7 linked regions of the Macaca mulatta genome follow. The protein of the gene in region 1 interacts with the protein of each later gene in a pairwise test. Links are inferred from orthologs where the notes say so. Each region holds a gene or a part of one and is shown in the gene's direction. Other genes may lie near its edges.

Region 1 (3,986 bases):
TGCTGCCAACAAGGGAACAGAAAAGATTTTCCAAGATTCTGTCAAGCCTGGTGATCCCATTTGTCTTTGGAAATGAAAGCCTAATTAAGAGACTCCCTAGGGACAGGTCAAAGGAGTTCTTTTATCTCCATCGTCCTTATCCTAGTTCCTCGATGCGTTAGTCCTTCCCTTTAATGTAGTCTACCCTAAAACTAAAGAATACACATTGTGCAAGTTTCCACCTTTGCTTTCTCTACTGTAAATGCATTAGACTATTAACAGAATGAAGAGTTTTAAATCCCACCTTCCTTATCTCTCAGCTGATGTTTATTTCTTAAAGTGTTTTTGAATAAAATTTGACACTAAAAATTCTTGTAATACTTTTTAAAATTGGATAACACTTTTTAAAAATATTGGAGTCTGACTAAAAGATTACAAAACCCCACGAACATCTTTATAATAAAGCTATTATGATAAATAATACTTTGTAAAATTTCAATTCGGTTTTATGTCCTAATTTCAAAGATTGTGGTTGCATATTATTTATCCAGGTTAAATTCCTGTTGGATTATATTGACAGTGTTTCATTTCTTTGAAACAATTTTAGGGTTAAGAGTCTCTACAGTTATAATGGAGAATATCAACTGTAGTTTCAGTTACTCAGGAGGTTGAGGCAGGTTGAAACTGGGAGGCGGAGGTTGCAGTGAGCTGAGATGGCGCAACTGCACTCCAGTCTGGGCGACAGAGTGAGACTCTGCCTCCAAAACAACAACTTAAAACTTGAAGAGATGAAAATGTTCTATCCAACCATGACAATTCCGTGTGAGTTTTCCAGTGTTTAGAAACACTTGCGGGCACCACTCCATCCCTGACCAGCAAGCTTCCTCCAGAACCACTCCACACCGCCATGTTAAAATGTCAACTTTTAATTTGGGGACTCAAACTACAAAATTTAACTATGTCTCCTCTTACCAAGATTCACAGTGAACATCTGGGAGTCAAGGTAGGCTTCATAACGCTAAACAGACCACAACGCTAATAACCACCTCAAATATAGCCTTCCAGCCTAGCTTTGGTCTGCAATTTCCCACTTCAGAGCCTCGGCGTAATGTCGCAGTTGCAACTGATTGGTGTAACGTGCTTGTCAGTCACATAGAGAGGGTGGGGCCTCAAAGCCTGATCTAAACGAGACGCCGTGTCGTACGTCATCGCCAAGCGACTAAAGCTGGAAGGGAGGGAGCGGGGTTGTGAGCAAACGTTGGTGGTGGTGTTGGTGGTGGTGTTGGTGGTGGTGGTGGTGGTGGTGGTGGTGGTGGTGGTGGTGGTGGTGGGGCGGCCTGAAAAGGCATCATGGCTGCTGCCACGGAGCTTAGTCGCCCGAACAGCGGTGACAGGAGCCTGGAGCGAAGATGCAGCCCTAGCCTCTCCCGAGAGGTGCTCTACGAAATCTTTCGCTCCCTACAAACCCTGGTTGGACAGGTGAGAGGTGGCCGGAGGGACTGGGAATATGGAAGCCATCCGGCCCATCCCTCCATTCTTTTCTTCTAGCAGGGGCCGGGGGCAGCTAGGCCTGCTGAAGTGTGGGATGCCGTCCCTGAAGCCGAGGTCGGGGAGGAGCGCGGGCCCAGCCGCCTCGCTCGGAGTGAGGAGGACGGCGGTACCCGTAGCCGAGTAGTTTACCTTGCAGCTGTCCTCTCCAAGAGTGGGTGAGGTTGGTCTAAGTGAAAACCCGGCTCCGAAAGAGGCAGGCTTGGGGAGAATGAATGTGGAAAAGCTTCACTGCGAATTTAGGAGGCGCCTAGCGCTCAGGGTCCTTTTTCCTCCAACTTACTCTTTATGGGAATTGGTTGGTCAGTAGGCCTGAGATTTATAGAAAAGCGCGCGCTTATTAGCTTTTTCTTGGCCGGGGGGAAGGAGTAATTTGTTCTTATGAGTTACTTGGTTTTGTTTATTTCTTTTTTCCTTGGGGCTGTTTTGGGCATCTATAACCCTTTCAAATGGGGAGGAAAGTAAAAGGAATTCGTTTAAAATACTTCTAGCGTAAAGTTGGATGAGTTATCCATCGTTGATGCTGTTTGCGTTTAGAACTGTCGTTATTTAACTATTAACTAGTTTAACTGACTGATAAATCGCTTTTGCAGAAATGCCATAGTAAAATTGGTTTTGAATTTAGTGGGCTTCTTCGATCAAGTCACTGTTTCGTTTCACGGTGTAAAATTAAAAGCAAGTTTTAAATGAGAAACAATTTAAAAGTACGCTTGTTTACCTGCCTTTTAAAAGGAAATATTTTCTATCTTACATAGACCATTTTCTAGCCGTAAAAGTTTGTTTTGAGGCTGGCACTAGCGCATGTGGACACGGCAGGCATTTGTGTCAAAGATAATGGTAAATTCTTATGAAAATAGAACATTTGTCTGATTTGTGAAAATTATTTTTAAAGCCTTGAGTAGATGGAGAATCAGCTTTTTAAAAAGTTACTATTTTAAAAAATCATAGTGTGTTGTGTCTTACAAAGAACATTACTGTAAGTTAAACGGTTTTATGTAATGACGCAATTATTAATGGAGTCTGCTTAAAGATACAACTTTTAAATTCAGTTGTTTGCCAAGTGCTTACCGAAATCGTTTTTTAAAGGCTTGGGGTGTTTTGTTATATATTCCAGTCTTAAGACCCAAGACCTTTTAAATGGTTTAAAAGTTAGAGAACTTTTTATGGCGACGTTGGAACTTAAGTTTGTTTATTTTCTAATGTCAAGATGAAAAAAGTTTATGCTCACCTATTAACAGAAGATGGAATATTTTTTAAAAATACTGAGCAATGATTTAAACGTTTCTTTTGAAACATTTAGCATACTGAATTTTTCAAACTCATTAGAAAATTTTAAACATTCAAGTACTCTACAAGTAAAGAAGCGATTACAATTTATTTGTGTCACCTGTCAAAAATGTTGACAGTAAATATTTGGTTACTTTACCATGACACAGTGAAGGGACCTCCTATACAGGTGTCAAAAATATGATTGTTTCATCAGTTAAATGCAAACTGTTTTCATAATACTCTATATTTTGAGAAGTATTAAGAGTGAAAGCCAGAGTTCCACACTTGCAAAATTGCCCCCAGAGAAATCAGTATTTTCTTTTGCAACCACTTTAAAAGATTTCTAGAAGGTATGTTGTAACATGCCTAACTTCATCCTGTGTCATCCCTAAGTATCATTGTATTATTAGATCTCAGTAGGAAACATAAAACTGAATGTTAAAAAGAATTTTTTACTTAAGATCACAAAATTTACTAATTTTAACCTTTTTGCTTGCCTCTGGATGGTCCATCTTACCAAGCTAAACACTTACTTATTTTTAGCTTGGATTTTTGTATTAATTTAGTAAAGTGTTTACTGAAAATATTTATTTAAATAGTCTATATTAATAGCAGACTAATAGAGATTTTCGAGTGAATGGTTTACTCTTCCAAGTTCTGTAGGGCAAAATGCATAGAATTCATATTACTAATAATGAATTTGTTGAATGAATAGTTAGGTGTATTAGAATAGTTTTAAATTAATTTGTGACATTATTATGTGAGTTTCTTAAAAGACCAGTTATTCTTAATTGCACTTGAAGCTTATGTAATTCTGCTGAATTGAAATGACACTATGAACGAAACATTAAGACTTATTTTTCTATAAGTTATTTTCTCTAGAAAATGTGATACTTTGCTTTGGTTGAGGATTTGCCTGCTTTATCCCCAAGCTGTATTCTTAAGTTTTCTGTGATCAACTGTAGATCTCTTTGAAGACTATGAAAGTACAATAATAGGTTACTTCCATACATAATACAGGTTGTTGTCTAACAAAATCTTTATAGGAATTAAAATAATGTAAATGAATGCATTCACTTTAACGTAAAATCTTAACATATTATAATCTTTGCCAGTGCAGCCTACATGAAATTTCATGTATCTTTACGCTTGTCTAATATGGACTTCTAAATGCTTCTGTTCTCATCTTC
Region 2 (3,213 bases), on another chromosome or scaffold:
CCGGTACGTGTGGAGCAAGGAGCAGGAAAGCCCTTACCCATTAGTCGTTTTGTAGAGATTAATTTGATCCTGTGATGCCTATCATTTTCTTTGCTTGTAAAAGTTGTCTGTGTGTTTGCCTTTCATTGTTGGGTATGTCATGGTCTTTCTACCTATTTCTTGGGTGTTTGTTGTTGACCCAGAGTTAAGTTCAAAGGGTTCTTGACACTTCCAAGATGTCTGCCATGAAGAGAAAATGTGATTCAAGGAACCGACCGACCCAATGGGGCTCTTTTGCTTCTGACTTCCTTTTGGTGCTTCTGTTCTCACATCCTAGATCCAGTCTCCAACTTTCATGCCTCTGATCATGTGCCCAAGCCAGGAGTGCCAAACCAACCGCTCAGGAGGGCGGCTGTATCTGCAGACACGGGGCTCCAAATTCATCAAATTCCAGGAGATGAAGATGCAAGAACATGTGAGTTTGGGGTACGTGGCCCTGGGCAGGTGGATTGAGAGTCCACTTGAATCCTGTAGTCACTTGTGGAGTGGCAGGAAAAAAGAAGAACGAAAGAGGGAAGTGCAGGAGGGAAGTGGAACTAGAATTTCTGAGAGCCTTGGGAAGGGGAAACTCAGTAGCCCTCCTGTGGGCTTGTCTGTGACTAGGCAGCCTGGGAGCCTTTGAGTGGGATGCCTAGGGAGGGAAGGTTGGGTCCTCGTCCATTTCTCCTGGCCTTATGTGCCTTTCTCTCCCCTAGAGTGATCAAGTGCCCGTGGGAAACATCCCTCGTAGTATCACGGTGCTGGTAGAAGGAGAGAACACGAGAATTGCCCAGCCTGGAGACCACGTCAGCGTCACTGGTATCTTCTTGCCAATCCTGCGCACTGGGTTCCGACAGGTGGTACAGGTAAGGAAGAGTTTGACATGAGGATCGTCCCCTTTTCCCTCACCTACTCATTCTACTCGCACAGAGAAAAGTGGGCAGCAAAACCCCAAACAGAACCCAGGGATTTGTCAAGAAATCGTTAGGGAATCCAGTGATGGGCAAGTTGAAGGGATTGCATCTGTATCCTGGCATTTTCCTGCCCAAGGGTTTACTCTCAGAAACCTACCTGGAAGCCCATCGGATTGTGAAGATGAACAAGAGTGAGGATGATGAGTCTGGGGCTGGAGAGCTCAGCAGGGAGGAGCTGAGGCAGATTGCAGGTGAGGGGCAGGGGAGATAGAGGAAATTCCATTTACATCCTAGCCCCCTTTTCCCCCAAAAAATACAACCTTAACTTCTCTACAGAAGAGGATTTCTACGAAAAGCTGGCAGCTTCAATCGCCCCAGAAATATATGGGCACGAAGATGTGAAGAAGGCACTGCTGCTTCTGCTAGTGGGGGGTGTGGACCAGTCTCCTCGAGGCATGAAGATCCGGGGTAAGAAGGAAAAAGGGAGAGGCTCGGGGGGATGAAGTCATTTAGGAGGGAAAAAGGATGACAAGTGTCTCTGTAGGTCAGAGTATAAGAGTGGACATCTTGCGTTCATGGACACAGGGAGGGCTTAGAAGTAATGCTGGGTGTTAGAGGGAGGCAGAACTCAAAATTGCTCTGTTGTTGTCTAAGTATTGGGAGAAGAGTCATTCCAGGGCTGCCTTCCCTTCCTCCAGGCAACATCAACATCTGTCTGATGGGGGATCCTGGTGTGGCCAAGTCTCAACTCCTGTCGTACATTGATCGGCTGGCCCCCCGCAGTAAGTAGTTGGGCCTTGGGAGAGGTGAACATAGTGACAGATAGGGCCACAGTGTTTATTCAAAAAATGGGGGTGCATGGTGGCTCACACTTGTAACCCCAATGCTCTGAGAGGCTGAGGCGGAAGGATCGTTTGAGACCAGGCTGGTCTACTAAAAAGTTTGTTTGTTTGGGTATTTTTGTTTGTTTGTTTCCTTTTTTTGAGACGGAGTCTCAGTCACCCAGGCTGGAGTGCAATGGCGTGGTTTCGGCTCACTGCAACCTCTGCCTCTCAGGTTCAAGCGATTCTCCCTTCTCAGCCTCCTGAGTAGCTGGGACTACAGACACGTGCCACCACACTTGGCTAATTTTTGTACTTTTAGTAGAGATGGGGCTTTACTATGTTGGGCAGGCTGGTCTCGAACTCCTGACCTCATGATCTGCCTGCCTTGGCCTCTACCAAAGTGCTGGGATTACAGGTGTGAGCCACTGCGCCTGGCCTCTACTAAAAAGTTTTAAAAATTAGTTGGGTGTGGTAGTGAGTGCCTATAGTCTCAGCTACTTGGGAGGCTGAGGCTGGAGGATGGCTTGAGCCCAGGAGCCAGGGTGTCAGTGAGCCACAGTTGTGCTCTGAAGAGAACCGGTGGGAGGGGAAGGGGAACGTTGCCAGCCCCCCACAGATCCTCGGGCGTCTCAAGAAGGCCTGGGGGAGGCAGTGGAATGATCCCAGCACAGGCCTTGCTTCCCTGGCCCATTTATTGTCCTTTGTTTGTTCCCCTTCTTGTTCTTTCTCTCTTATGGTTCCTTATTTCTTTTCTTCCAGGCCAGTACACAACAGGCCGGGGCTCCTCGGGAGTGGGGCTTACGGCAGCTGTGCTGAGAGACTCCGTGAGTGGAGAACTGACTTTAGAGGGTGGGGCTCTGGTGCTGGCTGACCAGGGCGTGTGCTGCATTGATGAGTTTGACAAAATGGCCGAGGCCGACCGCACAGCCATCCACGAGGTCATGGAGCAGCAGACCATCTCCATTGCCAAGGCCGGCATCCTTACTACACTCAATGCCCGCTGCTCCATCCTGGCTGCCGCCAACCCTGCCTATGGGCGCTACAACCCCCGCCGCAGCCTGGAGCAGAACATACAGCTGCCTGCCGCGCTGCTCTCCCGGTTTGACCTCCTCTGGCTGATTCAGGACCGGCCTGACCGAGACAATGACCTACGGTGAATGGAGCTCAACACCCAAAGAGAGGTCCCCTGTAATGATCTATAGGGAGGAGGGGAGGTGAATCAAAACAAATACTGTGCTCCTGGAAACCCCAGAGCCTCCCCCTTGCATCAGGGGCTGGTCCACGGTTCTCGGGGAAATGGTGGGTTGGGGCTGAAATGCTGATGAGGATTTTCAGGAAAGCGTGTCCCTCCTATACTGTAAGGAAGTGGCAGAGTCAAGGGAGGGACACCTAAGAGGACATGGGTGTGTAGCCCTAAAAAGGATGTTCCTCCTGGCCTCCCCTCTATCCAGGTTGGC
Region 3 (4,120 bases), on another chromosome or scaffold:
TCCTGGCTGCCTCACACCAACAACGGTGGCCAGTGGACACTGGCGATGGTGTCCTGTCATTCTGGTTTGTGAAGAGTTTTTGCGCCAAGTCAAACCCTGGGAGGAGTGGGGAGAGCATCCTCTTTCATTAATTAGAGGTGTCTCTATTCATCTCCGTAAATACAACATCTAGCACAAGACTTGGCCCACAGTAGGTGTTTAAAAATGCTTGCTGAGGCCGGGCGCAGTGGCTCACGCCTGTAATCCCAGCACTTTGGGAAGCCGAGGCGGGCAGACCACGTGAGGTCGGGAGTTCAAGACCAGCCTGACCAATATGGAGAAACCCCGTCTCTACTAAAAATACAAAATTAGCTGGACTAGGTGGCGTGCGCCTGTAATCCCAGCTACTCGGGAGGCTGAGGCAGGAGACTCACTTGAACCCGGAGGCAGAGGTTGCAGTGAGCCGAGATGGCGCCATTGCACTCCAGCCCGGGCGACGAGAGTGAAACAACGTCTGGGAAAACAAAACAAAACAAAACTTGCGGAAAGAATGAAATGACCAAGACTTCTGTAGGGCCGCCCGTCAGGTTCTCAACTAGTCACTCCACATCTGATTCATATCTTAAAGCAGCCTCGCAGGTAGGTCTGCATCATTTTCCCATCCTACATCGGAGGCGCTGAAGCCCAGGCGGGCTTCCCGAATCGCCCGGGCCCACGCTGCAGAGTGAAAGCCACAGCGGCAAAGCCTGCACGCTGGACGCTGCGCCGGAGCGTCCCCAGGTGCAGCAGGCTGCGCTCCGTAAGTGGGTCCTGGCGGGAACCGCGTCCTGCTGAACCCCGATCAGGCCCGGGGAGACCCTGGGAGCGACGCGGCGGGCGGGGTCTGGGCCCGCGGCAGTGGCTGAAGCCTCGGCTCGCTCTTCCTCACAAGGTGCGAATCCAGCGCCTCCAGCTCGGGAGGGACCTGACGTGCGGGACGCGTCCGCCTCAGAACCCGAGGCGCGGCACATACTCGGCAAAGGCCGCCGGCGTCCCCGCAGCAGTGGGAGGAGACTAGGGATGCCCGGAGGAAGACGCTGACCCGGCGAGCACCTGAGCGCCCACCTGTGGCTCATCCCGGAGACCCCCCACCGACCCGGGCGGGGCCTGGGGGCGTGGCTCCCGTCTCGCTCAGCCAATCAGTTCCCCGGAGCAGCCGCCCGCCCCCTCCTGAGGCGACAGCGCTTGCGCACTCGGGCCGCGGTCCTCCTCGGGCCCCGCCCCCGGGGCGGTGCTGACGCTCGCGCCGACGCGCTCGACGTCGGGCACGTCGACGCCGGCGCCGCGCAGCCGGGCCCGCTCCTCCTCCGCTCCGCCAGTGTCCGGCCGCGGGCCGGCCTTAGTGACTGGGGCGGCGGGCCCCGGGGCCGCGGCGTGGGGCGGGCAGGCGGACGCCGGCCGCGGGCTGCCTTCGTCGGCTCCCAAGCTCGCCCGGAGCGAGCAGCCGCCCGCGAGCCGCCGCGGAGCCTCCTCGCCCGCTCCCGCCGGTGAGCAAGGTAAGGGAGCGGGACACTGAGGCAGGCTCGGGGCCCAGGCGTCACCGGCTGGTCCCGGTCTCCGCGGCGGCCACGCAGCCGGTTGGATGTGTTCGCGAGGAAGGGTGCGCTCCGGGGCGGGTGGGGGCGAGGCCGCGGCGCCGGGTCGCGCTGGGAGAGCTCTGGCGGGACCCCAGCGCCCCGAGGGATGGCTCCGGGGACTGCGCGCCGCCCCTCCCCGAGCCCTGCGCCCCGTGACCTGGGCGCTGGGGCGAGGGGCGGGGAACTGCGGCCGCTGAAAGCCCCGGCCCGAGCGGGCTCCGTTGTCAACGGTCCTCACCTCCGGGGTCCGGGGCTCCCGCCGCACCTGATACAGGAGGGGAAGGAGTACGGTTCGAGCAGGCTGGAGGTCATCCCCATCAGGTGCGCCGCCTGGGCCATCCTCTCTCAGGGGTCCATCGCGCCCCGAATACTGCCCGAAAGACTCAGAAGCGACTTCCCCATCCCCTCGCGCTGTCTTTATATCCCAGACACTTAATGCCTCTCATCATCTCACCTTTCACTTTTCCCTCTTTCCTAGCCGCCTCCGGCTGTATATCGACCTGCTATATTTCCATTGTGAGTTTTTTTTTTTTCGGTTGTAAACTTACGTAAGTTAGGTTGACTGATCAACCGTTGCAGCCATTGAAAAAAAACACTTCTGCCAGCGTTTAACGAATCCAGTTCCTTTTAGTGCTCACCAGCTCCAGCTCAAGAATTCAGGGAGCCGTCAGTTCTTCACAGGAGCTGACTGCACACATTCCTGCAAGATGCCTGATGGATTTTGTACTTGTCAGTTTTGCTGGCTGTATGCTCCTTCTGTGCTTTTCCTGAAAAATGATTGGGTGACATGTGTTTTGACTTTCTTCTCCCCCCCCCACCCCCCACTGGGAAGTAAAAAAAAATTAGGTAACAGAAGCACACTTGTTTTCGACAAAAACAAGTACAGCTTTGCAAACAGACTACCCCAGGGTTTGCCCTTTTTTGTGAGGGTAGTCCTCTGGTATCTTGACCCCTTCCCTGGATTTTTGTCTGTGTTAATGTCTTCATGTTGTGTATTTCTGCACTTAATATTTGCCCGGTATATGTTTTCCCAGCTTATTTACACACAAAGCGTAACAGATCTGAGGATAATGAGGCTGCCCCTCTTTTTAGCTACAGATACCTGTAAAGTTGCATATTTGTGGGAACCTGTATTCTGCACTTGATGACTGTAGCCTGGCTCTTTCATTTCAAGATGATGTGCGAGGTGATGCCGACCATCAGCGAAGCAGAAGGCCCCCCTGGAGGAGGTGGAAGCCATGGTTCCGGCTCCCCTTCGCAGCCAGACGCAGATTCACATTTTGAACAGTTGATGGTCTCCATGTTGGAAGAAAGGGACCGCCTTCTTGACACACTGAGGGAGACTCAAGAAACACTGGCCTTAACCCAGGGGAAGTTACATGAGGTTGGTCATGAAAGAGATTCCTTGCAGAGACAGCTCAACACGGCACTTCCACAGGTATGAGTGCTTTTAACTTGAGACTCTGTAGATTATTCTCCACTAAATGTTTTTTTTTTTTTTAATTGGTGTCATCTTTTGTTAATGTTTCAGATGAGTATTTTCCATAACCATTTGTGAAATGATGGTTTCTGGTGTTTCTAAGTCAAATACAAAGTTCCTAGGGATTAAACTTCTTAGGGAGAACAAATTGTTGTACTCTAAAGTCATGTGAAAATACCTCATTATTTTCATTCCTATCTTTGGGAACTGCCTAGGTTCAGGAAGTTCTCCAGAGTTTCTGAAAAAGGGCTCTGAAGCAACCAATCTATGTGGTGCCTCCGTTCTGTTGTCTTCAACCTTCTCTTGCTAAACTTGTGCTTCCCATGGATTGTGTCTCATGTGTTTCTAATTTCCTAATATAATTTAGTAGACAAATAGGATTTCACAGAAAAAAAATACTGTTTTGATAGCCCACCTTTATCAGAACATCTAGGTTTTGTAAGTCACATTTGTTTTAGGGGATAGAAGACTGGAGATTGATTCCTTAGGAACTTCTTCCTTGGTAGACGAGAATTTTAAAGCTTAGGCCGGGTGTGTTGGCTCATGCCTGTAATCCCAGCACTTTGGGAGGCTAAGGCAGGCGGATCACCTGAGGTCAGGAGTTTGAGACCAGCCTGGCCAACATGGCAAAACCCTGTCTCTACCAAAAATACAAAAATTAGTGGAGCGTGGTAACACACACCTGTAGTCCCAGCTACTCAGAGGCTGAGGCATAAGAATCACTTGAGACAGGGAGGCAGAGGTTGCAGAGGAGCCAAGATTGCACCACTGTCTCAAAAAAAAAAAAAAAAAAATTTAAAGCTTAGAACAACTGAAATTATTTCTCTGAGTATATTACATTTGGACCAGTGTTTGAAAGACTTTGCTCATGGAGTTGAATGAGGATTTGCTTAATGGTAGGTAAAGGGAGAAAGTGTAAAAACTAGAAAAGTGTCAGGTGAGTGTCACGGAGCATAGTGGGAGAGAAGTGGGTTACTTAGGTGTTTCAGAGCTGTCTAGGCCCCATGTTACTCATCCTAAGTGCCTTTGGGGTGCATTCAGGTAG
Region 4 (4,271 bases), on another chromosome or scaffold:
GAATGCTTTGCCACTAGACTGCTGTCTTCAGGAGTTTCAAGAGCAAAGGTGAGAACTAGTTTGCTTCTTTTGAGAGTGGCCAGAGTAAGCACTTGGCTGCAGGGAAAAAAGTTTGCTTTTAATTTCCAAAGTGGACCCAAGATGATAGGGTCTCATGGAACAAAATCTTTGCTTTGATGCAAGGAACCAGTGCTATGCAGCAGTCTTCCAAGTTACTTACCAACAGTTGAAAGGGTGTGGCTTCTTGACTGGTGCCAAGTGTTTCCAATATGCCCTTGTGTAGCGCCACCTCTGACTTCCTATAGAAAGCCTCTTTCCTCTGCCTCAGCCTGCTGAGGATTCCACAAAACACAGCTAGATGTGAGCTGCATGTGCACACTCCAGTCTCATTTAACAGTGCAACACCTGCACTCTCAAAACCTAGACATTTCCCTAATGGGCTATAAAATGTGCTATTTGGGCAGTTAATTTCAAAATGTTATTAAACTAATAGGCACTTGGCAATGTACCTCTTTCACATAGATACACCCAAGAGTCAGACGTTTCTGGTTGATTGGATGGCTTTCCAGACTTGTGATTGTCATATTTTATAGCTTTTCCTCCTCCAGAACGCTTTACGAAATCCGTTTTCCAGAAAGCACGCCTCCAGGAGCTACTAGGAGGCAGAGTGAGTGAAGACTGGCCTGAGTGCCCAGGGATAGACTGTGCAGTGAACTCTTGTCCAGGTCTTTGGGGTAGAGGTGGAAGGAAAAGAAAGATAATGTTCCCTTTGTTTACTTAGAAGGTCCAAGAGTTGTAGAAAGCACAGGTCTCGTTTTTAGTGTGCACGGGCATATATTCTCATGGCCTGGACTCACAGGCCACAGAATCAAGCAAACACGCATGTGACATACTGAGCCTTCAGGCCTGGAAACCCCGTGGGCACCAGTGGGGATGGCTTTGCAGGCGCTGGAACTGCGGGATCCGCCGCTGCAGGGGTGCAGGCTGGGTGAGAAAAGGGTGCAAGCTGGGTCTACACTGCTCTTCATATTTTGGCGCTTCATGTGAAGTTGGATGATGCTTAAATGAAACAGCCCCCAAGCCACTTTCTGGCCTACATCCCCAGACCGCCGCTGTGAAGTTAACTCTTTTCAGAGATTGCAAAAATTTAATACCAGCAAAAGAAACCAAGTTACCAGGTCCCCTTAAGGCACACGAAAGGACATTTATCATAGCCTCTCCTTTCCCTCCAGTCCCTAGCTACACAAAATTGTGTGTGTGTGTGTGTGTGTGTGTGTAATTCTTTCCCTGCTTGCAGAGACCGCTGGCTATAAAGCCCAGGGAGGCCTGTAAGGAGACCCACACTTTGCGAGCGCGCGGCTCGAGGGCGGGCTCAGGGCGGGGCAGAGCGCCGGGACCGCCCGGGCGCCGGGCGCAGCCAACGAGAGGACCGGGAGGGCGGGCCGGCGAGGGCTGAGCGGCGCGGGCTGTCACAGGCGCCCGAAGCGCGCTGCAGGTGGCAACTTGGAGGTGCCGCCACCGCAGCTGCGGGAGGAGCCCGGGTCTGGCGGCTCCTTCCAGCCTCCAGGAGCTCTTTCCCGCCGCCGAGCCCGAGATTGGACCTCGGAGAATTCGCAAGAAAGAGCCCCTGCGGAGGGACCTGTGAGCAGCCCTACCTCACTCTGCCCTTGCGCTACTTTTTTCCTCCAAGGAAGGTTGTGCCCGCGGGCTGCCAACAAGCTCCGGGAGGGGCCCCAAAGGAAGGCTTCGGTGACCCAGGTGAGCGCCTTTCCCTTCCAGTGCCCCATCCTTCTTGGCAGTCGGGCGTAGGCCGGGAGCGCCGCCTAGCCCCGTGGGTAGGGGCGCGGGTGCGGGCCGCCTGCCCTTGGCTCGAGGTCGACGGGGGAGAAAGCAAGGAAGGGGCGAGGCTGGCCCGACCGGGGGCTGCCGGGCCGGGTCCGCCCGGAAGCGGCAGGGACTCTCGGACCGGCACCTGGAGACTAGGGACGAGCAGAGAGGTGCTTTGAGGCGGACAGAGGGCTTGCGCCCGGTTTAAGCTGGCCGGGATCTACCGCCTGCGCTCTGTGCTGGAGCCGCCGTGGGAGCCGAGCGCGGCGCCTCTGCGAACCCCAGAGCTAGTGCGCGGGGCCCGGCGAGCGCACCAGTCTTCGGTCCCTCGGAGCCCAAGGCCCTGGAGGACGTCATTCCTCTCCGCTCGGGCAACTCCTCCTCCGCCCCGTCTTGCCTCCACCCCTCCGCGCCCGCCGTTTAGCCTATTCGGAGACTCCGTGCTTTTTGCCAGCGCGCGCAGTGGTTGCTGCTGTCACTCCCCTCCCCGCCCTCGCAGGAGTTGGAGCGACCTGGGGTCTGGGTCCCCGGCCCCCGCCGCCTAGTTGTGGGCTGGACGCGAGTGGGGCTGGCCAGTTCTTTGCGAGGAGGGCAGGAGTGAGCGCGGGCTCTCTCTCTAGTGCTCCTTCCGAATCCGTCCCCGCCCGCCCCTGCAGCTCGAACCGCTAGCCCAGAGAGCGGAGTGTCAGAAGCCAGATCTTGTTAGCTCTGGGGAAACTAGGAAGCCTGGGAAGGTGCGAACCTCGCCGATGAGGCCAGAGCCTCCGCCCCCATCTCAGTGTTTCTGCCCCTGCTTTCCTGCTTTCAAGTGGACAGTGGCTTTGACCTCCGCATTCCTGCTTGTGGCGTGGGGGCGCTAGCGGCAGTGTGTGTGTGTGCGGTTTGTAAGGATGAGCGAATGCGATCCTCCGGGAGGCAGAGGCGCAGGAGCCCGTTCCCCCAGCCCGGCAGAGCCGCAGGGACCGCCACCCCTCGCCGCCAGCGGCGCGCAGCTGCAACTCCGCGCTGCCGGTTTCTCTCCTCCCGCTCCAGCTCCCAGTCCCCCCCCACCAACGCGGCATCCCAGGATTAAAATCATCTGGCCAAAGGGTGCGGGTGGGGGATCGAGGTGCTCCCGAGGCGAATGAGGCTGTTTCTCAAAATCCTGGGAGCGCCCCTCGCCCGGCGCTGCATCTTCCGGTGGCTGGGCTGTAAGGACCGGCGGTGGAGGCTTGGCGGAGGCGGGCCCGCGCTCCAGAGAGGCCGTCATGTCACCCGAGAAGCCGACGCTGGGGGCTGCTGAACCTCCGAACTCCCTTTGACGCGTCCTGCTCGGAGCCGGGGAGCTCCTGGCTGGCCGGGGGAGCGCCGCGCGGGAGGTGCGGTGGCCTGGCCAGTGCTGCGGGAGGGCGCCCCGGGCGCGTCGGGGGCTGCGTGGGGGGGCTGGAGAGCGCGCGGGGAGCTGCGGCGGGCTTGGGGCACCCGAGTGGCGCTGGAAGTTGAGCCGGGGTCCGCAGGGCTCGGTGACCGCCCTGGCGCCGCCGCTGCGGATTCGGGAACAGCGGCCACGCGGCGCGTTCGGCCGCCCCCTCGGCCCGCCCGCCGCGGCTTTCGCTTTCCTTCTGCAGAAGTGAAGCCGCCGCCTGGGCTCGCTCCGGCTGGCGACCTTTGCGCCAGAAAAGCCTGAGGTGCTGGAGGCGAAATCCTCCCGGGAGCGAAGGGCGGCGTCCACAAGACAAGGAAAGGGAAGACGCCGGGCTCCGGCGGGTAGCGCAGTCGCGGGAGGGCGGCGCTGAGCGCCAAGGATCCCCGAGGCGAGGCGGACCCAACCCAGCCGGGAGGTGCTGCCCTGGCCCTTGGCGCTCTCTCACAGGGAGCTGGTGGACCCCCCGCCCCTGCCAGTCCGTAACTCCCGTGTAATTCCCTCTGAAGTGCTAAGACTGGGCCGGGAGAGGGCTGGAAGCCACTAAATGAATGAAAGTAGAAACGGTGGTGAATCCCAAATCTAACTATGGTTTAAATCTAAATTCCACGTGATTAGAAACAGATTCTAACCCGGTAGAGCAGGGTCTATGTGGGAGCTCCTATATCGCATTCAAATAATGGCAGTTACTGAGGGACACCGCAAGACTTGCCCCTCCCAGGCTGTAATTGTGCTGCTTTGGGGAGTGGGGGTGGGGTGGGCTCCAGTGTGCCCGTATCATTACACATAATCTAGAACGAGGAAAGAGTGAAGTTCAGGTCGGTTCTGAAATGACCTTGGGAGTCTCCGTCTTCACTTTCCCTTACTTGCCTAGGCAGTTCCCAGTTGGATCAGTTACAGTTCAGACTTGTGACACCAAGGGGTCAAAGAGCCTCCCTTGTAACATTAGATAATAGTCTTCTTAGAATGTGTGGTAACCGTAGGAAAACATTCTCAGTACTGAGGAGCAGAGGTATAAAACCGAAAGTTTGCAACTAGGCTA
Region 5 (3,500 bases), on another chromosome or scaffold:
CACTAGGATTACAAGCGTGAGCCACCATGCACAGCCCTATTTTGTAGTATTTTATGGCTTGCCCTTTAAACATGAGCATAGTATCTAGAGTAATAGTGGAGTGACACTAGTTGCCTTCAGAGCTGAGTATCGATTTGTTTAGATGCTGCAAGACATTGTGAAAAATGTGACAATTTCAAATGGAAACATGAAATAAAGTTTTTTGTATGTTTAAACTGAACTGTCAAGATAGTTTACTTTGAAGATTTGAGTTTCAAAAATGTATTATCTAAATCATGCATTTTCTTAGTTTCTTATAATTCTTTATAATGGATTTCTTATACCAGAGCTCCTATTTTATCTCAAAGTTTGATTATTTTGTTCACATTGTTCTTTAGATGCTATTAAACTACAGCTGGTTGAAGCAGGCCTGGTAGAGTGTCTACTAGAGATTGTTCAGCAAAAAGTGGATAGTGACAAAGAAGATGATATTACTGAGCTCAAAACTGGTTCAGATCTCATGGTTTTATTACTTCTTGGAGGTGAGCTGTAATTTATGCCAGCCAAAGAATGTTGTTTTCAGATTTTTTTTAATTTATTGTCTCTTCTGTAAATACTACCCTAGGCATTTTCTCATATTCCTATCTCACCTGCTGTTGAGGTGATGATTTTGACGTCTTAAACATGTCATTGATAGAACCAGACATAACAAACCCGAAAAAGAAGTGTCTTCACCATCTTCCAACGTTTGAAGAGCTGTCCCATAGAAGAGATAGCTTTGGCACCAAGGGATTAAAGAAAAGCTAGATGGCTCCCTAGGACTTGGACTAGAAAAATGCTAAACTCTATTGTCTAGTATCTATTAAAAGTTTATTATAAAAAGAATCATTACTTTTCCCATTATGAATGTAATAGTTTGTGAAGTATGAGTTTCCCAGTTGGATATTCACCTAAGAATATGAATTTGTTACTCTTAGTTTTCTCTTGCTTAACTATTTGTTTCATTTACCTCCAGATGAATCCATGCAGAAGTTATTTGAAGGAGGAAAAGGCAGTGTATTTCAAAGGGTACTTTCTTGGATTCCATCAAATAACCACCAGCTACAGCTTGCTGGAGCATTGGCAATTGCAAATTTTGCCAGAAATGGTAAGCATATTAGTTCCTCCTTTGTTAGTCAAATACTCTGTATTTGTTTATTTTTGCTTTGCCGTCACATATACTGAAACTGAAACAGTTTAGAAGTTCTGTAATATGTGTATAATGCTGCTAACTTTTCAGAAATCTGAAATACTTATAGTGACATTCCTAACAAATTACATATTTTATGCAATTCAACTAAATTCTAATAGTTTAAAGATCATGAAGTGCTTCTTTTGAATACTTGGCACTTCAGAGCTTAGTAAGTTTGAATCCCATTCTAGTATACACATGCTTTCTTTTGCCTAGTGATTTTATTTTGGATCTAATTATTGAGTATTCATTCTAGGATTATTGTGCCTCAACTTATACTTTTATGCCCATAAAACTTAAGTATGAATAATCCCTTGGCTTTGTGTAGAATGTTTAATTTAGTTTAATAGTATTTTAGGGGGCACCAGACTTCTATGTTATGAAATCTGGCACTACTAAAAAACTCAAATACAGTCTAGAAACTCATTCTTATGTTCCTCATGAAATATACTATGTCTAGGAAATACAGTTTATTTTTCTTTTTAGTTTAATCATCTTCCAATACGAACTGTTGGTATATATTATAATGGCTGACTTACTCTATTTTTACTCCTCCTTTTTGGGAGTGACTCCCTAATAATGGAGGTAAGAGTGCCATAATATGGATAATTATTGAAACTAGATATGGAGTAAATAGTGGTTCATTATAATATTCTCTCTGCTTTGTAAATGTTTGAAAAATAATTTAGGTATCAGCCATGATAGCAAAAGGTAGAGTACTATCACTATAACATTGGGAGAACACAAGCATCACAATAAATGAAAAATATTGGACATTCTAACCATGTGTTTCTACTTCTGATGTATTATCTGGCTCTAAACTGAAGATTTTTCTGGTAATTTTTCTGATTTTTAAAATTTTATCTAGTTTAAGAATTTTGATAATACTTCTCACTCAGTGAACAGAAAAACCTATAAATCTGATGGGAGAAAGATTTGGAATTCATTTTATTGTATACCTCCATTTTCCCTAATGTAGATAATAGCCAGACATCAGTATTATAAGATATTTATAGATATTTTAAAGAGGAAGAAAAAGATGTGTGGGTTTTTTTTCAGATGGAAATTGTATTCATATGGTAGACAATGGGATTGTAGAAAAACTTATGGATTTACTGGACAGACATGTAGAAGATGGAAATGTAACAGTACAGCATGCAGCACTAAGTGCCCTCAGAAACCTGGCCATTCCAGGTAAGACTTAAGAATAGAAGGCAGCTATGTAAAAAATAAAATCCATCATTTGGGGAAGCTATTTACTGTATGTGATTTGTGAACCTGCTCTGATGAAGAAAATTAAAAAGAAAAAATAGTCTTCACATTGTTTACATTTTTTCATGCTAATAAATGGAGATCATATGTTAAATAAGTTTTGTGAGACTGTACAAGAATAATCTCTGCCTTCATTCAGATATCCTGTTACCTTTTGTGAATTCTTCGATTTTCATCATGTTGTATAGTTAAGCTTTTTTGCGGTTTTTTGTTTTTGTTTTTTTGAGATGGGGGTCTCACTCTGTCAGCCAGGCTAGAGTGCAGTGATGCAATCCTGGCTCACCACAGCCTCTACCTTCTGGGCTCAAGTTATCCTCCCATCTCAGCCTCCTGAGTAACAGGGACTGCAGGCATGTGCCACCATGCCCAGCTGATTTTTTATTTTTTGTAGAAACAGGATCTCACTATGTTGCTTATACTGGTCTTGAACTCCTGGGCTCAAGCAGTCCGCCCACCTTGGCCTCCCAAAGTGCCGGGATTACAGGTGAGAGCTACTGCACCAGGCCTTAAGTATCTTTAGTTGAGGTAGAATAATGACATCAATTAACAGAATCCCCTCAAGAATGACTTTCAGTTGTTGGTGGTGTTTTTCCATAAGCAGACGTACAATATTTTAAAATAGCCTTAATGTGCCTTTGGAAGTCATGAAATCACATTATTATGGAAAATACAACAAAAAATAGTTAAAACTATTCTTTTATTCTACTTTCTAAAAATAAATTTTTGGTTAGATGAAATAGTACAATTACATGATGATCTAATCCATTTGAATTGGTTTATATAGGATAGTAACATTTATTAATGTCTATAACATTTATATTAACACAGTTGGATCAAAAACAGAATTGTGCTTTATTGTTGTAAGAGGGTAACTGTGTAAGTAAATGTTTCGGATTGGGTTTAAAAAGCCATGATATTGTCATAAAAATTATGATATTGTCTGTTACCCGCTTATACACAAATAGGATACAGACACACACATAAACAACTGAATTCCATTCTTAAAATTGACAAAAAA
Region 6 (3,500 bases), on another chromosome or scaffold:
TCTCAAGTGATATTTTTGGGTTTTTTAATAGTGCTTGCTCCCCAAACACACCCTGCTCCTAACACCAACCAACAGTCTACAATTTAGAAACGAACAACGGATGGGACAAGAGACCTGGGGTCTGCTGTTCGACCTCCCGTGCCACACTCTTCTTACTTGTGAGGGGAAGATTACGTGTATTTCCCTCAGTAACACTAAGAGGAAAAAATAAAATATTCTGAGCTCATTAGAAAGGGAGCATAAGTATTCTGCCTTTTTATTAGAAAGTTGATTGATCATGGCTGAACTAACCACCATTATCAACTGAGATGAGTAGGTTTTGAGGCTTGAAATAGAAATGGTTTGAAATGCAAATTTTTATGTGCAGCTACTGTTTTGACAACCGTATCATTCCTTCTTTTTTTTTGTAGGCTTTAGAATCCAAATTAGCAGCTTGCAGGAATTTTGCAAAGGACCAAGCATCACGAAAATCCTATATTTCAGGGAATGTTAACTGTGGGGTGCTGAATGGCAATGGCACAAAGTTCTCTCGATCAGGGCATACATCTTTCTTCGACAAAGGGTAAGTCCTGAATGTTTTAAGTGATAATTTTTTGAGTAGTAAAGTGACATTATTAAGTGAGCATAATGAAGCCTTGAAAAGGTAAACTCAGCTTGGCAAACCTGCCTGCAGCCTGTTACCATTCTAATCTTAGGGGACATGATGTCTGTTGTTGTCCTCTAGTCCCCGTGGAGTCTGTTGCCCCAGGAACGCTGAATCTGAGGCTTCTGTCCTGGGAAGCAGACTCTTGAAAGGCAGCAGTGTGAGGCTCTGGTGAGTCAAAACGACTGTGATAAGGTCCCTGTTCTCCAGGTGCTTACAGGCTGGCAGACTTGCAAATACTTTTTTGGGGTAGAAGAGAGCATCACAATTAAATATATGCAAACTGTACAACAGACATCCCCTGTGAGAATTTTGGAGAAATATAAAGCCCTGAAGTACTTAGGCACTGGATCAAATACAGTTTAGGAGATACAACTTTTGTATAAAGTTAAGGCTGTTTTGAAGACTGAAATAAAATTGTCTTAAGACTGAAGCATCCTTAATGCAAAAAATTTCAGTTGGTATAGAAGTATATGAACTAAAAAGTCATTGTTTCCTGCCTTCACACTGTTTCTGCGTTCCTTACAGTTATTCCAAGGCATGTCAAATCCTATTTTTATGCATCTGCTCTAAGTTGTTTGTAACACAGTTATGGGATTTTACTTTAAATATTGCTTTGCAATGTGCCTATCATGACTTATATTGCCATTATCTTTCCATGTCATGTATATTATTCTACCTCAATTTACTTATTTTTAAATACTGCATGGTAATACATGGTTGTACAAGTATGCCTTAATATGGGTCACTGTTAGGACCCGTGGCCTGGGATGCTCACGGTGCTGCCTAAGGTAGTTGTTACTGAAGCAGCCAACAGGCACCCATGATCCCCTGCCACTGTCTCTGCTTTGAGTCATAGAGGTCATTCTTGCTTGTTTTTCTCTGAAAGCAGAACAGGTACAACTCTAGAAATGTTCACGATTTCTTAAAGCAGCTGGCATTTTCTGCCATCCCCAATAATTGTGGCCCATTTATAAAGGAGCAGATTTGACACACAGTGCACTGTGAAAAGGCTCTTCTCCTTGTGGTGGAATGTTTTGGTTGATCTCTGTCCCTTAAGAGAATTTCACCCTGAGGTATATACATTTCATTAAGGGTTTTGTATTAAAAACACATTCTGAAACCTCACTATACAAATTAGAACTTTATTCTTTTTTTAACAAATTTTTTAAATAATTTTTTTTTTCTTTGGAAGAGATGCGGTCTCACTGTGTTGCCTAGGCTGGTCTGAAACTGCTGGGCTCAAGTGATCCTCCTGCCTCAGCCTCCCAGAGTGCTGGGATTGCCACCGCGCCCAGCTGAAATCAGAACCTTATTCTAACCATTGGGTTTCCTCGGGTGGAGTAAATATAAAATTGATTTTCCTCAGGCTTAGGAGTTTCAGGCAGACTTGAGGCAGCCCTTGTTTTTATACTGGAATGGTAAATGGAATGACTGGACGGTTTTACATGAAAGTAGCCATTTCCCCTAAATGATATGGAGAATGTTTAGGGTAGTCTTCATAAATGTTGGAAACAGTGCCTAATTATTTTTCCCTACAACTTATAATGACCCTCTACTAGAGTAGTTATTAGTCTCTCCTTGGAGTCATATTTCTTGATGGGCCTCAGGTGCCTTACATGAGAGCAGGCATGAACCATAAATGGATAGGTTGGACAGGTGCCTGTGCATGTGGAAGCCCTTAAGAACAGTCACGAGGAGGGAAGGATGACACTGTCTGTTCAGGGTCGCTACTCCTGCCTGCCACTTGCCTCCCAAGGCAGAGCACCTGGGCAGGGATTGCCAAGAGATGTGGGGACCTCAGGGTGAGCTGAAGCCAGGAACGGGCCTTGGGCACACTGGCTGCACCCCTGTCCCTTGAGAGCATCCGAGATGCAATTGTAGGCTTTACTTCTTGAGCTGAACCCGGAGTGGCTGTGCTTCCCAATCAGAACAGTTGCGGATACTTAGTGTTGGTTTTAAATGATAGACATTTTACATTGTGCCTTTTCCATTAAGAAAAACGCTTTTGTGAAGTGGCTATCGTGTGAGTGTTTAGCTTATGTGATAAGTAGATTGTGTATGCACACTGGAATAGGAACCTACTGGTGCTGGTGTTTTCTTTCTAGTTGCTGTATTCCTGAGGAGAACTCTTTTGTGGGTTTTGCTGTGTTTTCACTTTCTGGCCGCTTTGCTTCGATTCTGGCTTCTGGCCTGCCTGGCTTTTTACCTCTGGCCTTTCTTCCTGCCGACCTGTTGACCAGATAAACACCAAGATGTTGTGTACCGCCTGCAAAAGGAAGGGCAGGCTATCGTAGTTCCTAGGTCCATGACACACTCTGGCAGGTTAAAGAACACAAAAGCCTGTCTGTATAGAAGTGTAGAAGCATGGCTTGTCGTTTCAGCAGGAGAAGAGCGCCCCATTGGAAAAGGCCTCCACTGCAGAACCTGCCCTCCCTCCCTCTCACTCCTGAGTCCACTGTAGAACCTGCCCTCCCTCCCTGTCACTCCTGAGGTGTCTAGCACCGTGGCGATAGGTCACTAGTGCCGCTAGAAACCTGTGGCAGGGTTGTTTGGGGGAGAGATGTCATCAAAGTAGGTTTGTGTGGGTGTCCGTGTGTGTGCGTGTCCGTGTGTGTGCGTGTCCGTGTGTGTGGGTGTCCGTGTGTGCGGGTGTCCGTGTGTGCGCGTGTCCGTGTGTGCGGGTGTCCGTGTGTGCGCGTGTCCGTGTGTGCGGGTGTCCGTGTGTGCGCGTGTCCGTGTGTGCGGGTGTCCGTGTGTGCGCGTGTCCGTGTGTGCGCGTGTCCGTGTGTGCGCGTGTCCGTGTGTGCGCGTGTCCGTGTGTGCGGGTGTCCGTGTGTGCGCGTGTCCGTGTGTG
Region 7 (4,228 bases), on another chromosome or scaffold:
AGTCACTGGCCCAGAGGTTGGAAGAGGGTGTCTGCTCCCAGCTCTGCTACTTTCTGGACACGGGACCTTGGGCAAGTCATTGCAGTTCTCAGGGTCCTCCTCACGTAAGAGGATAGTGGCCAACTGTAGAACATATGATATGGTACTTTTGGAACTGTGAGGTTCACAGCCCATATGGCAGTACCTGTCAACCCTGGACCTCCTTCCTCCTGAGGCTGAGTTGAGAATTCCATGAAATAAACTATACGATTCATCCACACACCAGGCTGGATCAGGTATTCACTAGAGGTTGGCTCCCTTCTCCTTCTCTCACCTGAGGTACATTCCTACATTACAGCATTTGGAAAAATATCCAGCTCTGGGGTTTGGTGACCTGGTTTCTCCAGGGTAAAACTTATGTACAGCGGTTTTTAGGTCCATGTTGTCATCCTGGAACTGGAGGAACCTTTCTGACCCTAGAGAATGGATTGAGGTGTGACCCTTGATGGTTTAGTGGATGCCAAGGTCAGTAATTAAAACCCAGGGGTGTCATCATATCCTAACTTGGGGCACCCTTGGAGAGCTTACCGGAAAACACCGTCTTTGTTGTTTTTCTCAGTTTTCCAACAGATGGAGAAGCAGAGGTGTAGGGAATGGCTGGAACATAATGTGTGGGACCTGAATCTACCCAAGGTCCTTATCTGGTGCATCAGAGAGTTGGAGGCTCATGCCAATGTTCAAACAGTGAGGTCCAGAGGGAGGAAGCATCCTGGCCAACAGCAAGCAGCTGATGAACAGCAGAGCATTAGAGGACAGAGCTGAGGAGGAAAGGAGAGAGGCGAGGCAAGGACCTGAAGCTGCTGTCAGGACTGAGAGAGGAAACCGTAGGCAAGTCTTTTCTCTTGGGTCCCTGGAGCTGCCTCCTGACACTTTTCATCTTCCATTGCCTGTGTGGACATGTGTTCACATTCACATGTGCCAGTACACATAGGGATGTAGAAAGCCCCAAAATAGCTAGATTGAGTCCTAGCTTGTAATTTGAGGTCTGGGGCAAGTGATCACCACACTTGTGATCTGAGGTCCTTGAGCCTCAGTTTACTCGTCTGTAAAATGGGGTTGCCTGATGCCTGCCTTGCCCACTCTTAGGTAGTAAAATGTACAAACCCAAATGGTCTACCCCCACAGCCTGCACTGATCCAGCCTCCCCCACCACCAGCAGAATAATCTGGGAGGTTGGGCACATGACCCTGCATCAAAGAATGCATGAGTGCCTCTCTGCACACAGCCCTGGGCAGTGCCCTCTTCTCTTTCAGCTCAGTGAATGATGGAAACTCATGGAAGACAGCAGACAAAGCAGCCCCGGGGATAGGGGAGATTCCAGAGAGGCCCGTGACCAGGCCACAGGGATGCTGGGGCTGTAAACCAAAAGCCACTGGACTCTGTAAACCCACTGGGCGCCACAGAGGCAGAAGGGGTGATGAGCGAGAGGCGAGTAGTAGTGGACCTGCCCCCCAGTGCCAGCTCCAGCATGCCCCTCCAGAGGCGCAGGGCATCTTTCAGGGGGCCACGGTCATCATCCTCCCTGGATAGCCCCCCAGCCTCCAGGACCAATGCCATGAGTGGCCTTGTCCGAGCACCTGGGGTCTATGTAGGAACAGCACCCAGTGGGTGCATAGGTGGCCTGGGTGCCCGTGTGACCCGCCGGGCCCTCGGCATCAGCAGTGTCTTCCTTCAGGGCCTGCGGAGCTCAGGCCTGGCCACAGTGCCGGCTCCAGGTTTGGAGAGGGACCATGGTGCTGTTGAGGACCTAGGGGGCTGCCTGGTGGAATATATGGCCAAAGTGCATGCCCTTGAACAAGTCAGTCAGGAGCTGGAAACACAACTGCGGATGCACCTGGAGAGCAAGGCCACGCGCTCGGGAAATTGGGGTGCCCTACGGGCTTCCTGGGCCAGCAGCTGCCAGCAGGTAAGTGTCCAGGCTGTGCCAAGGGCTTTGCAGAGGGCTGGGAGGGGCTGCTGAGGGCAGGAGTAAGGTTGTGAGTAGGCTGAGGCCAGAGAAACTGACCATAATGCCCTACACTTTCACACTTAAAATGTTCATGATAACAACAATGCTCCTTTTTACCAAGGTTTACCAGGAGCCCACGCTAGCCCCCATACGTGCACTATCCACTGTCTTCTTTACAATTCGAAGACATGCTATGCAGCGGATCATTCATTGATTGCACTTTTGAGATGAGAAACTGAGGCATGTAATTTTCCCAAGACTTCAAAGCTAGTAGAGGGATGAAGATGAGATTTGAATCTGAATTTTTGTGCCTTCAAAGTTGCATGTGCCCCATTACCCTGAGCTGCCTCAGTCACCTTTACTGTTGAGAAGGGATTTTTACAGTTATTATCCAGTCAAATACCATTGGATGGATGTGGTATTAAGAACAATGAATAAATGGAGGTGTGTTCCTGTATCCACCTATAATCACCCTGTTCAACAGAAATGTGAGGTACATTGGTAATCAACAAGTTTCTATTACCCACAGTAAAACAAGTAAAAAGAAGCAGGTAAAGTTAATAGTATAGCTTACTTAACTCTATATGTCCAGAATGTTATTTCAACATGTAATCAATACAAAATATATGAATGAGATAATTTACATTCAAGTAGAACTTTCTGCATGATGGAAATATTAATATCTTATATCTACACTGTCCAATCTGGCAGCCACTAGCCAGATATAGCTATCAAGCACTTGAAATGTGGTTAATGAGACTGAGGAATTGCGTTTTTGTTTTATCTAATTTTCATTAATTTAAATGTAAACAGCCATGGGTAGCTAATGGCCATCTTATTGGACAGGGAAGGATGCAGAGGTTTCATCTTTCTCCCTTGCTTGGTCAGCCCTGCGTTTCCCACTCTCCAGGGTGATTTCTGCAGAGTCTGGAGCTCATCCATCATGTCTGGCCTGCAGCCTGTAGTTCTAATGCTGGGACTCCAGCCAGCATTGCACCTCTCAGCTGGTCTCTCTGTGGATGGTTGGCTTCTCTCCTCCTCTTTCTCTCCAGACGCTGGTCTTGGGATCACTCTGAGCAAAATCAGTCTCTAACCCACCAGGGACTGCCAACTCAGACCCTTGGCCCCCTGGAGTCCAGTATGCAGCCTCCCAAGAGGAAGTCACAAAATTTTATTTGTGTGTAGCCGGGGGATGCTAAGCAGGTGCACACAGGGACTCCCCATTTGCCCTTCCTGCCTCCCATTTCGTCCCAGGATGCTTCTCCTGCACTGCTCTCAGTGCCCACTGACAGCACAGAGTGCATGATGAGCAGCACCATCCTCTCAGGCTCTCCCCCTGGTGCTGCTGTTCTGCTTGCATCCATCCGGGCTGCGAGGGAGAGCCATCTTAGAATAGTCCAGGGTCTTAATGCCTGTCAAATCTAAGAGGCAGCCATTCCTCCAGGATTCTTCACAACTGTCCAAATATTGTGCCATAACAACCACCAGAACATCCCTAGATACTCCAATATGTCAGCATCTGCTGGACAATCGCTTGCACTCAGATGCCACACAGACTTGTCAGGAGAAATCAGGTGTCCCAATGGCTAGGTTAAAAAGTAGGGCCACAAAACTTAGTTTATACTCAATAGATACCGACTTGCTCTGGCTCCAGATAGCTACAAGAGCCCTTGCAACGTACTGACTTCTCTGGGCCTCAGTTTCATTATCTACAAAATGGGTATAATAATGCTTAGATATTCCTGCAAATCCACAGACAAATAAGATGACTGGCTCCTGCCTACAGGTAGAGTACAGACTAGGAAGCTCTAAAATCCTGTGAGCGCCGCAGCCACACACCAAGACATGCGACCTCTGTAGCTGAGGGCCAGGGTCCCACATGGGCTCACTTTCCTCTTCAGTGATTGTAAATGAGGTCCTGGGTATTAATAAAGTTCTCTTTTTCTTCTTTTTTAAAAAATTCATGGCCTTGAAATTAGACCAATTGATAAAATGGAGTTATTATTTCTTTTTTTTTCTTTTCTTTTTTTTTTTTTTTTTTGAGATGGAGTCTCGTTCTGTCACCCAGGCTGGAGTGCTGTGGTGTGATCTTGACTCACTGTAACCTCCACCTCCCAGGTTCAAGCGATTCTCCTGCCTCAGCCTCCCAAGTAGCTGGGATTACAGGCGCATGCCACCATGCCCAGCTAATTTTTGTGTACGTTTAATGGAGATGGGGTTGCACCATGTTGACCAGGCTGG

Evidence for each region.
Region 2: the proteins of MBIP (region 1) and MCM7 interact in binary tests that used the Homo sapiens proteins (3 or more experiments, as listed by UniProt). The two-hybrid records come from large-scale screens. The link is inferred for Macaca mulatta from reciprocal best matches to the Homo sapiens genes MBIP and MCM7.
Region 3: the proteins of MBIP (region 1) and PPFIA1 interact in binary tests that used the Homo sapiens proteins (3 or more experiments, as listed by UniProt). The two-hybrid records come from large-scale screens. The link is inferred for Macaca mulatta from reciprocal best matches to the Homo sapiens genes MBIP and PPFIA1.
Region 4: the proteins of MBIP (region 1) and EPB41L3 interact in a two-hybrid assay, tested with the Homo sapiens proteins (2 studies listed by BioGRID). The two-hybrid records come from large-scale screens. The link is inferred for Macaca mulatta from reciprocal best matches to the Homo sapiens genes MBIP and EPB41L3.
Region 5: the proteins of MBIP (region 1) and RAP1GDS1 interact in binary tests that used the Homo sapiens proteins (3 or more experiments, as listed by UniProt). The two-hybrid records come from large-scale screens. The link is inferred for Macaca mulatta from reciprocal best matches to the Homo sapiens genes MBIP and RAP1GDS1.
Region 6: the proteins of MBIP (region 1) and NDEL1 interact in binary tests that used the Homo sapiens proteins (3 or more experiments, as listed by UniProt). The two-hybrid records come from large-scale screens. The link is inferred for Macaca mulatta from reciprocal best matches to the Homo sapiens genes MBIP and NDEL1.
Region 7: the proteins of MBIP (region 1) and BFSP2 interact in binary tests that used the Homo sapiens proteins (3 or more experiments, as listed by UniProt). The two-hybrid records come from large-scale screens. The link is inferred for Macaca mulatta from reciprocal best matches to the Homo sapiens genes MBIP and BFSP2.

The regions. Positions count from the first base shown.
Region 1 is NC_133412.1:109,439,165-109,443,150, reverse strand, and holds the start of MBIP (MAP3K12-binding inhibitory protein 1), read left to right. Parts: upstream 1-1,186; 5' UTR 1,187-1,329; coding exon 1,330-1,458; intron 1,459-3,986. UniProt on the Homo sapiens protein: Inhibits the MAP3K12 activity to induce the activation of the JNK/SAPK pathway. Component of the ATAC complex, a complex with histone acetyltransferase activity on histones H3 and H4.
Region 2 is NC_133408.1:47,403,609-47,406,821, reverse strand, and holds part of MCM7 (DNA replication licensing factor MCM7), read left to right. Parts: coding exon 1-3; intron 4-316; coding exon 317-454; intron 455-734; coding exon 735-884; intron 885-1,068; coding exon 1,069-1,183; intron 1,184-1,268; coding exon 1,269-1,400; intron 1,401-1,630; coding exon 1,631-1,714; intron 1,715-2,515; coding exon 2,516-2,909; intron 2,910-3,207; coding exon 3,208-3,213. UniProt on the Homo sapiens protein: Acts as a component of the MCM2-7 complex (MCM complex) which is the replicative helicase essential for 'once per cell cycle' DNA replication initiation and elongation in eukaryotic cells.
Region 3 is NC_133419.1:4,394,551-4,398,670, reverse strand, and holds the start of PPFIA1 (liprin-alpha-1), read left to right. Parts: upstream 1-1,320; 5' UTR 1,321-1,505; exon of another isoform or gene 1,506-1,514; intron 1,515-2,769; coding exon 2,770-3,033; intron 3,034-3,766; exon of another isoform or gene 3,767-4,120. UniProt on the Homo sapiens protein: May regulate the disassembly of focal adhesions. May localize receptor-like tyrosine phosphatases type 2A at specific sites on the plasma membrane, possibly regulating their interaction with the extracellular environment and their association with substrates.
Region 4 is NC_133423.1:76,749,355-76,753,625, reverse strand, and holds the start of EPB41L3 (band 4.1-like protein 3), read left to right. Parts: upstream 1-1,471; 5' UTR 1,472-1,758; intron 1,759-4,271. UniProt on the Homo sapiens protein: Tumor suppressor that inhibits cell proliferation and promotes apoptosis. Modulates the activity of protein arginine N-methyltransferases, including PRMT3 and PRMT5.
Region 5 is NC_133410.1:107,709,248-107,712,747, forward strand, and holds part of RAP1GDS1 (rap1 GTPase-GDP dissociation stimulator 1), read left to right. Parts: intron 1-377; coding exon 378-521; intron 522-994; coding exon 995-1,126; intron 1,127-2,269; coding exon 2,270-2,404; intron 2,405-3,500. UniProt on the Homo sapiens protein: Acts as a GEF (guanine nucleotide exchange factor) for the Rho family of small GTP-binding proteins (G proteins) that stimulates the dissociation of GDP to enable subsequent binding of GTP.
Region 6 is NC_133421.1:9,963,356-9,966,855, forward strand, and holds part of NDEL1 (nuclear distribution protein nudE-like 1), read left to right. Parts: intron 1-410; coding exon 411-562; intron 563-3,500. UniProt on the Homo sapiens protein: Required for organization of the cellular microtubule array and microtubule anchoring at the centrosome. May regulate microtubule organization at least in part by targeting the microtubule severing protein KATNA1 to the centrosome.
Region 7 is NC_133407.1:36,465,753-36,469,980, forward strand, and holds the start of BFSP2 (phakinin), read left to right. Parts: upstream 1-1,428; 5' UTR 1,429-1,456; coding exon 1,457-1,945; intron 1,946-4,228.